2 linked regions of the Pelodiscus sinensis genome follow. The protein of the gene in region 1 interacts with the protein of each later gene in a biochemical or structural test. Links are inferred from orthologs where the notes say so. Each region holds a gene or a part of one and is shown in the gene's direction. Other genes may lie near its edges.

Region 1 (8,030 bases):
AGAACCTTGACAGGCTGCAGGTTGTCCACCATTGATCTAGTGTCTGGTGTCAATCAACAGTGACTCTAGTGAAATCTGTGGTGATCTAGACCAATTTTATATGTCAATCTGCAGAACTCCTTGCCACAGGACGTTGTGAAGACTAGGACAAAAAAGAGCTAGATACATTCATGGAGGTTAGGTCCATTAATGATTATTAGCTGGGATGGGTAGGAACAGCATCCTTAGCCTCTGTTTGTCTGGAAATGGATGACAGGAGAGGGATCACGTGATGATTACCTGTTTGTTCACTTCCTCTGGGGCATCTGACATTGACCACTGTCAACAGACAGGATACTGGGCTAGATGGACCTTTGATCTGACTCAGTATGGCCATTCTTATATTCTTATACATTTACAATTAAAATTTAGTTGTCTTATTCAAGCACTCAGCATTTCTCAGGATTCATTCCCATGATACCATTTAAATTTTAGAATTCAAAGGTCCCTACTGTTCCAAAACTATTTAGTCAAGGCTTCCCCACAGGAGTAACAGTTCCCTTCAAATCTGTGTGCACAGCTTCCATCACTGTGTCTTCTCTGATCAGTAAACCAGGGCAACCAGAGCTATGGTTTAATTAATATAATGTGATTAGCACAGTCCAGACCCAGATTAGTTCAAATTCTTGGAACAGTGCTAACATGTAGCTTATCCATAATGTGATTACTTTCATGTTAAGGAATACATTTGTGATAATGGTGTTAAGAGGAATGAATAGAAACTTTGATAAGTATAATCCAATGTGGTGTAATGCAATATGCAAGCTGTATATGTAATCTTATAAAATAATACTGTTTTTCTTATTGTTAGAATTTGAGTCACAGGTACAGGGGATGGGGGCGGCAGGAAATGGAAACAATCCAAAGGACCCTGATGATACAATCAGCATTGACAAGATTCCTAAAAGACATTTATTTTAGTAGAAGCATTTGGAGGAAGAAGTAAAAGATGCTCAGCAGTGTTCAGAAAGAGGATTTTGTTCCAGGCATTAGAAATGGCAATCGAAAAGTGCAAAACTCAAAATGGGTAAGAAATAGAAATAGTGGAAGAGGGCACTGAGCTGTAAGAATGAAAAGGTTGAACTTGATGTAGAAAAAAAAGGAGAAAGGAAAATAATATATTTTGGGCCTGATTTTAAAACAAGTTAGGCGTGAAACTACTTTCCTAATCTGTTTGTAGTTACTGAGGAGAAATTTGCATGGAAATAACCAGAATTAGCCATTGGCAGATCTCTGCTTAATTTATATTTATGATCTCGGCAATAATACATGCAATTGCACATGTATTTGTGTGCCTATATTGGGGGGGGGGGAAGGAGGGTTCATTAAAAAGGCCCTTTTATTTTTAAAGTTGTCTCTTCCACTAATCAGGAATGTGCAGTTGCCTGCACCAACAAAAAGATCAGTAGGTAATACACAAAACAGATAAAAGGGTTCAATTCATTAAGACACCAAAAAGTAGCTAATCTAGTATTTTAGCCTACATGTAAACCTCAAGAAAGAGGCAATTGGTTGGAATTTTGTTATCTAAAGAAATTATCTAAAACAACAACTGTCAACATGCAGGCATTGCTTCATCACAAGCATTTAGCTCTCCCTCACTAACAAGGAGTAGGAGAAAGAGAGTCTAGAGAAGAGGAGAACAGTAAGAGGAAAAACTGGTTTCTTAATTGATCTGGGAAGGAGGAGGAGAAAGAGGATGATGACATGGGCTGCCTATATTTCTAGCAATATGTCTGCAGTGCTTAGGAGCTGAACTTGCAGGGAACAGATGAAATGAGTTTAAATAGCATGCAATACATATGGGAGGGGGAGAGGGAGAGGGAGGAGGATGAAATCTATCCTAATGATAAAATTCTCAGAGGGGTAGCCATGTAAGTCTGTAACTTTAAAAACAAGTCTTGGGGCATGAGAGATTAACAAAAATAGAATCATGAGCTTTCATGGGTAAAAACCCACTGCAACTTATCTGATGAAGTAGGTGTTACCCATGAAAGCTCATGGTTCTATATATTTTTGTTAGTCTTTAAGGTGCCACAGGACCACTTGTTTTTATACCAATGATAGTACAGACTATATAACCTATATAGATTGGTGAGTATTTCAAACCCAAAACTGGATCCTAATAATAAAGCTTGAGCCCATTTCAGTCCTTATAGAATTATCCTTTTTTCTGCACATACTGGGAGAGATTCTGCTCTTGTTTAAAACCCATAACTCCACTGACATCAATGGGGGATAAACTTGTGATGTGAGAAGAATTCTCTAATAGCTTCCCTTTCTTAACCCACACTCATAAAGAATCCCCTTAGTATCATTTGTTATAGGTAGAGAAGCAGTGGCATATGCATATAAATCTGGCATGCATCTATTTCCTATTGCACTTACTAGCTTACAACCACAAACCAGACATTTTATGAGGGAGGGAAAAAGTGTGGAGGAATTACCTGCACAGCTGCTTCAAAGAAAGAGTTTGGCTCATTGATTCTTATCATAACCCCCTTTCATAAAAACCCAATTGCTTGTTCACAATGTCATCTCTCTACTTCATTCTCAATGTCTGTCACACCATGCATCTTCCTTTTCAATTTAGGCAGGAAATGAAGAATAAGACCATAGAAGAAAGCAATACAATTATATAATTTAATGAATGAAATCTTTACAATATCTGGTTTGTTCCCAAACAAGTGCTGCATATTCCCTGCCTCTCAAGAAAGGACATAGCCAATATTAAACTGATGCACTTGCTCACAGTCAAAATAGGCAACTTAAACCAACTTAAAATTATAGGAAAACTTAAATAGAGAACAAAGAGATATAAATAACCTCTTAGGCAACCAGAAAAGCTCATCAAGTCTAAAATTTCATCTCCCATAAAAATGATAAACTAAGTCTTAGCAACCAGTTTCCTGATAAACTGGAATTCAAATCTTATACAACTACTTTTCTTCCCCAAACAGGCAAAATTAAAGGGACACTGTCAACTTGAAAACTAAGTGAGCTACAAGTAGTTTCAGATACCACACCCATTCTTGAATCCCCTTTGCCAATTCTGATGTTTGACTATCATTTTTAAGATGTTTTCCTTTCTCCTGTGCTGAGTGAAAAACCCACAAACAAATAACATGGGAACCAACTGGCCATATAAGAGGAACAGTGGAAGTGACGTGGTGCTGTAAATGTACAAAGGCAACAAAGTAAAACAAAACAAAACAAAAACCTGCCAAATTTCTCTTAGTTATACCCTTGACAAGCATTTTCACACACAGAAAGGGCCTGATTCTCAGAGGTAATGCGGGTACCAGCACTTCTCAGGATCAAGCCCAAGATTTCTATAAAAGGCGTAACACACACAAAAAGTAGTGTTGTGTATAGAACTTCAGGCAACTGAAATCACAGTTAAGCCAAAATGAAGGGACTCTGAAGATCAGAAACAAGAGACAAGCTTTATGTAAACTACCCACTCCTTCCCCCGGCTTTACAGCTGGCTAGTAGTGCTTGTATACAAGATTCTGAGAACTCATTCTTGTTGCCTCCAATGGGCACCCAACCTCCACCCTGAGTTACGAGTTTTGAGAAGCATTATGGGTAAGAGGAATGAGAACAGGGCATGGTTAGGAGTTTTCTGGCTGTATCACTTACTCAATGGGTAGCCATAAGGAAATTGACTATATGCCTCAGTTTCCCCTTTTATTCAGTCTACCTCCTTCCCATAGGTTTCGAGATGAATAGCTAGTTATTGGTTATATAATGTTTTAAATTCACAGAGTGATGTAAGTGCTGAATGTTTGTGGGTGCAGAAGGTATGCAAGATCAGGTGTTGAGACTTTGGCATATAATAGACTCATCAGGAAACATCAAAGACATGGGACTGTCAAGATTAGTGTGACTGACCCACTTTCTTCAGTCCCCCTTTCTTCCCAAGATTCAATTAGAAAGTCAGCACCTAATGTGAATTATTTTCACTCCTCTCTTTTCAAAGAACTGTTGGGAAGCTGTAGTTAAAGTTGGTGAGTAACTCTTCTTATTTTTTATATCATCATAGATTCCAAAAAGCCCAGCCATGGGCCCCATTGTACTAAGGGGCGGGGAACCTTTCTTGAGTTGGGGGCCGCTGACCCACAGAAAAATCAGTTGGAGGCCACACACAAGTGAGAAGCAAAGTGAGAAGCCCCTGATGGAGAAGGAAAAAGACACTCCCACATTTCCCTTGAACACCAGAGCCGGGGGCACCCAAGCGACTAAGTTTTGTATGCTCCAGGCCTGTGGATGGGTTGCAGAGGGGCTGGAGCATTAGCACGGGCTCCCCAATGTGGAGGGATCCCTGAGCCTTGGGGGCCAGATCCAGGTAAATGTTATTGATAGTATTTTAAAGTTTCTTCTATCACCCCAGTCTTCCCTGACACTTCCTTACTAACCCCCTCTTATTTGCCCCCTCCCCTCTATTCCACAGCTGCCCTTGGAAAAAGTGACCCTAGTTTCAATGACTATCCTATTTATATCATGAAATTGTAAATCTATTCATTGATTGGTTTTCCCCTCTGGACAGTATGTGAATATATATTTCTCTCAAAGAACTGCCCCCTCCCCTAAACCTCCCCTTCTCTCTTGGGTGCTTTTTCCTTAACCATGTTTACATGATAAAACAAAAAAGCTGTCATGTCGCACTTTAAAGACTGACCAAATAATTCATTAAGTGATGAGTTTTCGTGGGGCAGACCCACTTCTTCAGATAGAATGCAACTACTTGGAAATGGCTCACTCTTTCTACCAATCCAGCCGCTTCCATAACATCCTGAAAAGCAACCTGATCAGATGTTCCTCCTCTAGGCAGGAACATGGATTTTCTTTTCTAAGCAGTTTGGAGAAAGAAGGGGGGGGGGGGGGGGGAAGAGGCAGAGAGAGAGAGAGAGAGAATGTGTTGAGTTTTGCTGCCTGCTCCTCCCACAAGATACAACCTCCTGCTGCCAGTGCTGTCTGCAAAGCAGCATTTCAAACAGTGCTTAGGCTTGGCTTGTGAGGAGTGAAGAGAAAGAAAAAGAGCGAGCTCAGACTCTGAAGGAAGAGGGTGAAAAGCAGCACTCAAGATTTTCTCTCTCCTATCCTATGGATTTTACAAACTAGACCCCCCTCTCCCCCCCGCCAGACTTTTATCATGAGTGCACTGCCGCTGGATCTCCCGAGGAGTCCTCTAACCCAGTGAGCAGAACTTTGTGGGGCAGGCATTTCCCCTCCCCAGCTGTCTTTCATGGTAAAGTATTTAGCCCTGCTCTCCAGCCCACGGGGGCTCTTTCTCTCCCCTCCACAGGGAGCTGCGTGAAGGAGGAGAGGAGAGAGAGATGCATGTGGGGTGGTTCAGGCAGGCTGCCTCCTGGCTGCTGGTCCTGTGGGCTGCTGCTCCCTGCCTGTGGCTGCGCTGCATCCTGGCCGATTTCACCTTGGACAATGAGGTGCACTCGAGTTTCATCCACCGGAGGCTGCGGAGCCAGGAGCGCCGGGAGATTCAGCGGGAGATCCTCTCCATCCTGGGCTTGCCCCACCGGCCCCGGCCCCATCTGCACGGCAAGCAGAACTCTGCCCCCATGTTCATGCTGGATCTCTACAATGCCATGTCGGTGGAGGAGGAGACGGCAGGAGCAGCCGGGGAGGAGGGAGAGGGATTCTCCTACCCTTACAAGCCCATCTTCAGCACCCAGGGGCCACCCCTGGCCAGCCTGCAGGACAGCAACTTCCTCACGGAAGCAGACATGGTGATGAGCTTCGTGAATCTGGGTGAGTCTCTAACCCCCATCCCGGGGGAGTCTGGGATGAGATTTTTTGGTGGGGGAGGGGATAAATGCCTGAGTGTTGGGATTAGTGCCTGGGGAGGGGGTTGAGATGGGCAGATCCGTCTGATGGACAAAGGAAGGACAAGAATGTGATAGCCCATGTGTCTCTACTGGTGGCCACAGGTGGCCCTGGTGGCAGGTGGCTCCAATGGTGGGGAAGGGAAAATAAGTAGCCCCAAGAAAAAGTACTTTTTTGTTACATCATATGTAAATGGCAGTAATCTTGAAATTCAGCTGGGCAGAGCTCAGCCTCTATTTCACATCATTAGGGTTTTTAGAAGTTTATTGTGCTGAATCAGCGCTTACCTCTCATGAAAATTCTTCCTCCTCCTGCCGATAAACTCCTTATTTTCCCAGTCCCAGAGATGAGGTTCTCAGAGGTGAAGGAATCATTAGTGGGCCTGGCCTGCCTCAGGAACCTCCAAGGAAGATATGAAACCTACCAGCACAAGATCATGAGCTGCCTTGTAGTTCAAAGCACTGAGCTTAGAGTCATCTAATGCCGCTAGAGTAGCTGAAAATGGATGGATTCCAGTGCAGCGGGGAAGACTGCATTAACTGAATTGAAAGGGCCAAGCTGCTGAGAGTCTGTTTTCTTAATTGCTTTTGTGGGTTTCAGTGGCAAATCCTTATTTACTCCTGCAGTGCTTTCTACTTTCTCTACATAGTCTTTCTTCTAGTTTTAGGCAGCTAGTTGCTTTCTTTCACAAGCACATGTGGATGGGTTTATGCAAAGGACCTGAAAGTTGCCACACTTTGAATGCAGCTCACTAGGCCCCTAATTGGATGCCATGGTCCAATCTGAGTTCTATTTGTCTGCTGTAGATTGTATATCCTTTTGGACTAAACTTGTCTGGATTTGAGTAAAATGCTGACAGGGCCAACATTCTATTTTAAATATGTAATTATAGGTCCCAGTTCACTGTATCCAGTTTTAGCACTCATCACGTGTGGCACTGAAACCACCGAATGTACAGATTGGGTGCCTGCAATTTTAAGACCAAATCGGAACCGTAGTTTCAAAACAAGATCAACTCAAAGTTACTTTGGGACAAGGAGCAAGAGGCATAGACCCAATGCACATAAAATGGTGCAGACCGCACCCTTACATTTAATACTGTAAAATAATAATCATTTAGGGCTTACTGGTTGTCACTATGTTTCACCCCATGGCCACCTAGAACTTCATTGTGGCAACAGAAATTGAACTATAATCCTTCTGGCACTGTACCTAAAGGAGAATCACTAATAGCAGTATAAGCTCTATGTTATACCATTGAATAGGTATGACTATATACATTATCATTCCATTGCAATTTTGATGAAACCTGGAGATGGAGTATTGTATGCTGGACTTCTAGTGTCCATAAGTCATACATCCATATTAAATACCATGAACCTCAGATGAGTGCTCTATGAGTTTCATTTGATGAGGGGCTACACTTTTTTGAAAGTGATAATGGGTTCAATTTAGAATTAGAATGCTCGTCTAATCACTTTTAAATATGAAAGCCAATCATCAACGATTCATGTTAAAAATCAAACATCTCAATGTCCAAAATTACAGTTGGTGGTCAAATATTTGACTTTAAAGATAAGAGATGTTGACACTGTGCTTGCTGGTACCTTAGTTTTAAGTATAAAGTAAAGCCTAAGGCTGAAAGTGCAGGGACACTCAATAAAATCTAACAGAGAACAAAAGATGGTGAAATAATGAAACAAATTCCCATTTTTCTTTTTATATTTTAAAAGTATGATTTTATGAAAGGAATAAATAACTAACAGAATCAACTCCAGATAGATAAATGTTTTTCTCTAGGGGAATAATTATATCCTTTGTAAAAAGCAAAAATTAATTCCAACAAAGCTTTCATAAGTACTGCTCTAGGACCCCAGTCTTATACTCATTGTGTAAGGAAAAGTCTCTTTGAAATCCATGGGAGTTTTATGTAAAACCTATTAAGATGCAGGCCCTAAAGTAAATTATATTTTCCAAAGTGTGATTTTAGTGAAATTAGTCAACATATTAAAAAACAAGGACAAAACATTTTTTGGATAGCTCCTATAAGAGTATCACAGAACACATCAAAGCAATGGCATATATGTAAACAGCAGGGCCAGACGGAGCCATTCTAGCACCCCCAGCAAACAGGTTAATTGCGC
Region 2 (7,864 bases), on another chromosome or scaffold:
CTAAATTTATTGAAAAACTGAACATTCAGCTCCCTTAATCGCGTCAGTGTAGCTGTCCATTGAAGTTGGCCCAACTATATTTCAACAGAGGTTCTCACATCCCTTAAGGACCACGTGTAGGGTGCCCATATGTTTCTGCTTTGGGAGCCTGCCTCAGTGAGCAGTATCTGAGCCATCTATCCAGAGAGCAGGTATGATATGGGCACTAGCAATGCAAACTTCATTCACAATACAACACATGCCTGGGTCCTGACCAGGAGAGACTCTTTTAATGGATGACTATTCCAATGACCGCCCTAAAAGATACAATTTGTGTGGTGTATAAATCTGCCCATCAAGAACTGGATGAAAACCAGATATACATTTCACATGCAGCATCAAACGTGTTCAATGTTAGCAGCTTTTGGTCGTTAGGAACCTATATAGGATTTAATCATTAACCCATTAATGGAAGGCTCAGTACTGTATCACATTATCTTGTAAGATTATTTTAAAGAAGTATTGTTAAACGTGCTCCCTTAAAATTGGATTTAGCAGTTTTGCTTTGGGTCATGAGTATGGATTCCTCTCTATGGTCCGTTTTGTTCTGAGCAGATAGGTAGAGTGGAAGAACAGTATGCCTACTTCAGTGATTTCTGGGTTTCTCTGCATTCTACACTACCCAGTGTAGAAGCTGTGATTTTGCCTGTTCTGTAAGTTGCTATCATTTTGGATGCTGTATTTTTTTTCTGGCACAGGGAAAAAAAGCAAAGATGTTTCTGAAAACCGAATTAAACAAAATTTCGTGTTTCTAATGAGCTTATTTAGTCACCCTTGCACATTTTTAAAAGTGCCCATTTCATTGTGTTCCTGTGAAAAAAAGACTGCAAAGGCAATAGGTTTGAAATGATACCCTCTTCTTTGCTTTCTAGACCACGTCAACATAATACAAGAACTCACTATACCTCTATGATTCAATCCGGGTTTAAAATATACATGAACTGTATTGCAAAGCCTGCACTATTATTTCAGATCCACAGCTAGTAAGTTTCAAGCTGGAGTGCAGAAGATATGTAAATTCTAATACCAAAAAAATGAAACAGCTAGACAGTGAACACCTCCCCCTGCATGCCAGTGTTTCCCACAAAGAGTTTGTGTGCGGCCATCTGCCGCCCATAAGTGTTTTCACCACACTTTCCAATCAGTTGCTTGCTGGAAAGAGTTTGTCTAGGGAGGCATTCATCTTGCCAGCAGCAAATGTTCTGTCCTAAGAAGCACTCTGTTCAGTTGCAAAGTGAAACTGAATAGGTCGGGGCAATATTAGTTTTCCACTGCAGTAGACTATGCATATAAAGCTTTTGACATAAACCGAAACTAAATACTCCTAATCACCTTTCCTCTGCAGCATTAAGGTGCAAATCCTCTCCCTTCTCTGCATGTGCACAACGCTGTGCTCATAGTGGACATGGTGTAGTTCTGGAGTGTGAGGCATAGGATGCTTGGAATCCAGGGGTGCAGTGTGCCTCTACACGTACCATGTGCAACAACATCAAGGCTCCTTCTGAGCTGCTCTACCAAGGGCTGGGAAGCACAGACCGAAGACAAACAGCACCTTGCTAATAATAAGGAAGCTGAGAAACGGGATGCAAAGGATGGCCTTTGGCAGGTTCATCAGTAAGCAAAGCATCTCACTGAAGAGGTGAAAGGGAGGAAAGTTACAATCTCAGTTGGCTTAGTTATTTGGAGAATTATCTAGGCAGCAATAAAAGTTGTTCTCTTCATCCTGTACATGAGGGCTGTGTCTACACTAGCGCAATCTCGCGCAAAAGCGGCCACTCTTGCGTAAAAACTTGCTGCCTGTCTACACTGGCCGCGTGTTCTTGCACAAGTAAACTGACGTTCTAAAGTATAAAATCAGGGCTTCTTGAGCCAGAACTCTGACGCTCCCGCTCAGGAATAAGCCTTCTTGCACAAGAGCTCTTCCAGAAGAGGCCAGTGTAGACAGGCAACATGAATTTCTTGCGCAAGAAAGCCCTATGGTTAAAATGGCCATCAGAGCTTTCTTGCGCAAGAGAGTATCTACACTGGCATGGATGCTCTTGCGCAAAAGCACATCTCTTGTGCAAAAGCACATGCCAGCGTAGACGCTCTCTTCTGGAAGAGTTTTTGCACAAGAACTCTTCCGCAAAAGAGTTTTTGTGTGAGAATGCGCCAGTAGGTGTAGCCAAAGATTATAATCATATCCTGCTATTTATCTTGTAACCTTTCAAAAATTCAAATTTCCCTTTGCCCACAGCTAAAACTCTTGCCTGGGTTCCCGTAGTCTCCCATCTTGCTACTATAACCACCTCTTCTGTCTACGCCAACATACATGGTTGCTCCCGAGACCTTTTGAATCCATCTAAAGCACAATTCCTAATATAACATTCAGAGCTCCACCCCCTCCTCTCTGAAATCTTCCATTGACTCCATTTTCTGCTGCATTAACTCCAAGCTAATTGTCCTCACCTTCAGAGGGAAGCCAGACACTGGCCAGCCTTTCTAGTGCTGCTCTCACCTCCCGACACATCACTCCGATGACATGTAACTGGGAGTGAGGGAGGTTGTGGTGGCAGGTGTTTGGGGCACCACACAGGGTATTTGTGAGGGAAGGCTTGGTATGTCCAGGCTCGCCTCTTGTCTGGATCTGGGGCCATTTGTGCTGCTGGTTGAGGAAGTGGAAACACCCAGAATCTTGTCCCTTTATGTAAAGCAGAGGTGGGCAATAATTTTTTATGGGGGGCCACTCCAAGAATTTGGTACGTGTTCGAGGGCTGCACTTTTCTGGGACTGGGGTGTGGGATCTGGGAGGGAGTTTGGGTGAAGGAGGGGATTGTGACCTCAGGCAGCAGACTGGGGTGCAGGGTTTGGGATTGGGTGTGACCTGGGGTAGAAGTGCAGGAGTTTGGGTCAGGACCTGGGATAGGGGATTGGGGTGCAGGATCTGGGAGGGGTATGGATGCAGGAGATGAATCTGGCCAGGGGGAGGGATGTAGGAGGAGGGAGTGCAGGGTATAGGAGGAGATTGTAACCTGGGGCAGGAGTGCAGGGAGTGGGGGTGTGTGTGTGTGCGTGCGCATGCGTGCAAGGATTTGGGTTGTGACCAGGGACAGCAGATTGGGGAGCAAGGTCTGGGAAGGGGTTGTGACCTGAGGAGGGATGGGGAGTGCAGAAAGCTTGGGTTACATGGGGTAGGGATGTAGGAGGGAGGCAGAGGGTTGGGGGATGGAGAAACTGTGGTGCCAGAGGCAGGTTCTGGCTGGGGAACCGTACGTACATCAGTGACTCCCAAGCAAGCAGCCCAGCAGCAAGTTCCTTAGCCAGGGGCCCTGCCTTCCACACTCTTGTATGTGCTTAGAGCACCTGCAGGGGCTATGTTTGCTGCTGTGAACCCTATGAGCCCAGGGGATGAGGGTGGAGGGGCACTTCACTTGCTGCCTGTCTTGCCAACAGGAAGTTGCTATTGGCCAGAAACCAGAAAATGGGCAACACTGGGGGCAGAGGCAGTGTGAGAAACCCAAGTGAACCACCAGTAGAAACACATGGGCTGTGTCTAGACTGGCAAGTTTTTCCGCAAAATCAGCTGCTTTTGTGGAAAAACTTGCCAGCTGTCTACACTGGTCGCTTGAATTTCCGCAAGAACACTGACTTCCTACTGTAAGAAATCAGTGCTTCTTGCGGAAATGCTATGCTGCTCCCGTTCGGGCAAAAGCCCTCTTGCGCAAATCATTTGTGCAAGAGGGTCAGTGTAGACAGCACAGTACAAAAAAAAGCACAAAAAAGCCCCGATGACTAAAATGGCGATCGGGGCTTTTTTGCGCAAAAGCGAGTCTAGACTGGCACAGACGCTTTTCCGCAAAAGCACTTTTGCGGAAAAGCGTCTGTGCCAATCTAGATGCTCTTTTCCACAAATGCTTTTAACTGAAAAGTTTTCCGTTAAAAGCATTTGCGGAAAATTATGCCAGTCTAAACGTAGCCATATTGCCAGCTATGGGCACTCTGCTAATCAGCTGGGCAGCGTTTGAATCTCTCCTGGGTGGCTGCCCAAGTGCATAGATTCCCGGAACACTGGTGGTGGTCTCCAAGCATTAGGGGTGGGTGGGGTGGAGTGGGGGGAGATCTCCTAGCATTCAGGTTTGGGCAGGGAGTTGATCTCCAAGAAATGGGAAAGGGGGTGTATGATCTCCCAGCACTGGCGAGGGAGGGTTGGTGGTCTCCCAGAACCAGGGAGGGGGTGTGTGTGATCTCCCAGCACTGGGGTTTGGGTGGTGGTGATCTCCAAGCACTGGGGTTTGGGTGGTGGTGATCTCCAAGCATTGGGGAGGGGGGATTGGTGATCTCCCAGCGCTGGGGTTTGGGTGGTGGTGATCTCCAAGCACTGGGGTTTGGGTGGTGGTGATCTCCAAGCATTGGGGAGGGGGGATTGGTGATCTCCAAGCACTGGGGTTTGGGTGGTGGTGATCTCTAAGCACTGGGGAGGGGGGATTGGTGATCTCCCAGCGCTGGGGTTTGGGGGGGGGGGAGTTGATCTCCCGGTGCTAGGGTTCGAGGGGGCACTGGTGAGGGGGTGTGTGTGATCTCCCAGCACTGGGGTTTGGCGGAGAGTTGGCGATCGCCCAGCACTGGGGGAGAGGTGGGTGCCCAGCACTGGGGGGGGGGGGGGGGTAGATCTCCGAACGCTCGGCTCGCGCTGGGGGTAGGAGCTGGCGGGCTCCCAGAGCTTGGGGGAGGGGCGCGGGCGCTCTCGCAGCGCTCGCGTGTCAGGGGGCGGGCAGGCAGGCTTCGGCAATCTCCGCCGCCGCTCGGATGCCGTCGGAGCGAGGCACTGGAGCCGCGACTCGGAGGCTGGCGGCGCGCGAGGGCGGCGGTGTCCCGAGGGCGCGAGCTCCAGCGAGCCCGTCTGGCAGCGGCGGTTGCGCGCTCCGCCCCCGCGGTGCTGGCTGGGGCCGTTGGCTGCCGTGATTGGAGTCCCGCTCGCGCAGGCCGAGGGCTCGGGCCGCTGTCGGAGTTTGCGCCGCGCCCCCCGCCCGGCCGGGGGAGGCCGGAGCCGCTCGGAGGGTGACACGGAGCGAGCGCAGCCGGGAGCATGACGGACCCTCGCGGCGGGTGAGTGCGGCCGGGGTGTCCGGCGAGACGGAGGCCCAGCGCGTTCGCGGGGCCCGTTGTGCCGCGGCGGCCCGTGGCTGTCGGGGAACGTGCCCGCGGGCTGCCCTGGGGGGCACGTTCCGCGGTGAGGGCCGCGCGCGCCGGGCGCCAGCTGTGGCCGGGCCCGTCCCAGCGGGAGTGCGCCGCGGGGCGGGCCCTGCTTGCGCCGCCGCAGCCGGGGTGCCCCCCGTCCCGTCCCGTCCTTGTGCGGGGCAGCGCGGCGCGGCCTGACGTGACTCCCAACAGCAACGTCCCCCTCGCCCCGGCTGCCCCGCTCGCGGGGGGCTGGCGCCGCTCGGCGGGCAGGCCCCAGTGCGGCAAGTGTGCGCAGTGTGGGTGGGCCCTTGCCGTGACGCAGGGTCCCTGCGAGTCGGTGGGTCTCTGCCGGGGCACAGGAGGCGGCCGGCGAGAGGCCACTTTTGAGACTGGAGCTTTAAATGTTTCTCTGCGACGACGCCTTCTCCCCACCCCCCATTTTGTGTTGCAGTTTCAGGCTGGGTGTTACGCGAGCTATAGTGGTGCAAGAGGAGTAACCGTGTAGTCACTGACGCTGCTTAGTGAGGGGCCTTGAATTTCTGGGTGCGAGAGGTGGCTTTGAGCGAAGTTGTGTTCCACCGTTTCTGTTAAGCCCGTAGTAATTCAACAGTTAAATAGTAAAGTATTGAATAGTTTCTTTATTTCGGAGAAAGGGCTTGTTAGGTTTTAGGATGCACATTTGTGTAACTGACTACGACGTCTAGAAGAAAGGGTTTGGCTAAACAATAGAGCCCCAGAATCGTTAAAATGTGCAGGATTTAGAGTAGATTCTGCAGGGAGAAGCAGTATTGCAGAATCTAAATCCAGCAGGTTCACCTGTCTGCACATGAGAAGTTGATCATTTTATTATATTAATTTCTTGTAGAGGATGAAAAGTCTGTTTTGAGAATACATATTTAAGCTGATAACATTTCACCGAAAGAAACTTATATGTGATAAGAGCTGTCATTGGCTGTAGCATTGCACAACAGTGCTGCTGCACATCCAGCTATTTATAAATATAGTTAATGATCAAAGTACTGTATGTTGCACCTCAAAATCTATGATTAAAATTTGGTGGAAAGATATTCATCTTTTTTTATCAAGGTAACATTTTTGACATAGTTTATCAGATGCATATTTTATACTACAAATACTTAAAGTCTGCAGTAGGGATTGAGTTTTCGTAAATACTCAATAAGAGCAAGTACCTGCATCTGTGGATGTATATCTTAGTAGGTGCTGTTTGATCTTCGTTCAACATAGAAAATTAATGTATTTAATACAGCTAGGTTCCTATAACTTTCAAAAGGAAAACTTACCCTCTTCAGTGTTTATGAAAGAAGACTTAACTCCCCAACCTTGTGTAATTTTTAGATTATATTTTAACCGATGAAATTCAGTCAAGTATTTTTAAATTTTATCTCAAAGATATTTCAAATGATTTTCAATAATAAAAGCCCCATATATAATGAAATTCTAATCTTCTGCAGATATAGTTACATGAACCACAAAAATACATCATGCATCTAACAAGGTGGAATTTTTTACCCATGAAAGCTTATGCCCAAATAAATCTGTTTTTACAATGCTACAGAACTCCTTGTTTTTGCAGATACAGACTTCCATCCCCTCTGATATTAGTCACAAATATTGACTGGAGTAAAACTTTTAAGGGGCATGTGTTTTTTCCTTAGTTCCAGTATTCTGGAATGAAGAGAATAAAAATGTATGTATGCTGATTAGGGATGTTATGGGTAGTCGATTATACAATTAACCGATAAGTGTTGGCTTATTGATTAATCTTGTAGACTATATGTATCCCCCCCCCCCCCTTGCTGTATCAGAGGCAGCAAGGAGGGGAAGAAGGAGCCAGTGCTAGGGGGAAACTGCTTAAAAGCACTGGCTCCGCAGTGCCAACTGCCCTCCCCTTCCTTTCCACATTGCTGCCTCGGTCAGGGGCAGCAGCCAGGGAGGGGACAGAGGAAGCTCCCACGAAGCAGCCTCTGCAGAGGATCCAAGGTCCTCGGTGGTAGCTCCTGTCTGCGGGGGTCTGAGCTCCCTGCAGTCTGGCTACTGCTGGGCTAGCCTCTGTCTGTGGCCATTCTGGGCCACAGTGGACAGAGGCTGCTTTGCAGCAGCCTCCCCTTCTTCTCCCCCTCCCCCTGCCCTACAGCAGCCTCTGTCCATAGGGAGCTTGGACTCCTGCAGACACAGAGGCAGCAGCACAGGGTGGCAGGCAGCCAGTCTGCATGGTGAGCTGTTTTTTAAATGGCTTTCTCTTAGAGAGGCAGCAATGAGGGGTGGCAGGTGGTCCCTGGGAGTGAGGCTGGGTGCACACTGGCTGATGGCGCTGCCCCTGGGGATTATCAAATAGTCGTGTAACCACAAACATTTCATGCAGTTACACAACTGTTCATTTACACGATATCTAACATCCCTAATTCTGATATTATCTTAGTGGTTCTTTTTCTTCCAGTTTGTGTGGATACAAAACCAACTATTCTTAAACAATTTTCTGCTGGGTTTAGGCTTTCTGATTGTTATTTTTCATAGGTTTTTTGGGGGGTAGTGGGTGCAGGTATTGAGTCAGAATTGTTCTGAGTTGTGGTAAGATCTTGTTCTTGTCCATGGCAGATGAGAAGAGGTATATATATATATATTTTTAATTGCCCTAGTAAAATGT

What was found. The genes of interacting proteins can lie anywhere in the genome.
Region 2: the proteins of BMP7 (region 1) and BMPR1A form a complex in vitro, tested with the Homo sapiens proteins (2 studies listed by BioGRID). The link is inferred for Pelodiscus sinensis from reciprocal best matches to the Homo sapiens genes BMP7 and BMPR1A.

Annotation. Positions count from the first base shown.
Region 1 is NC_134728.1:14,405,803-14,413,832, forward strand, and holds the start of BMP7 (bone morphogenetic protein 7), read left to right. Parts: upstream 1-4,965; 5' UTR 4,966-5,378; coding exon 5,379-5,811; intron 5,812-6,173; exon of another isoform or gene 6,174-6,306; intron 6,307-8,030. UniProt on the Homo sapiens protein: Growth factor of the TGF-beta superfamily that plays important role in various biological processes, including embryogenesis, hematopoiesis, neurogenesis and skeletal morphogenesis.
Region 2 is NC_134718.1:18,369,914-18,377,777, reverse strand, and holds the start of BMPR1A (bone morphogenetic protein receptor type-1A), read left to right. Parts: upstream 1-4,836; 5' UTR 4,837-5,124; intron 5,125-7,864. UniProt on the Homo sapiens protein: On ligand binding, forms a receptor complex consisting of two type II and two type I transmembrane serine/threonine kinases.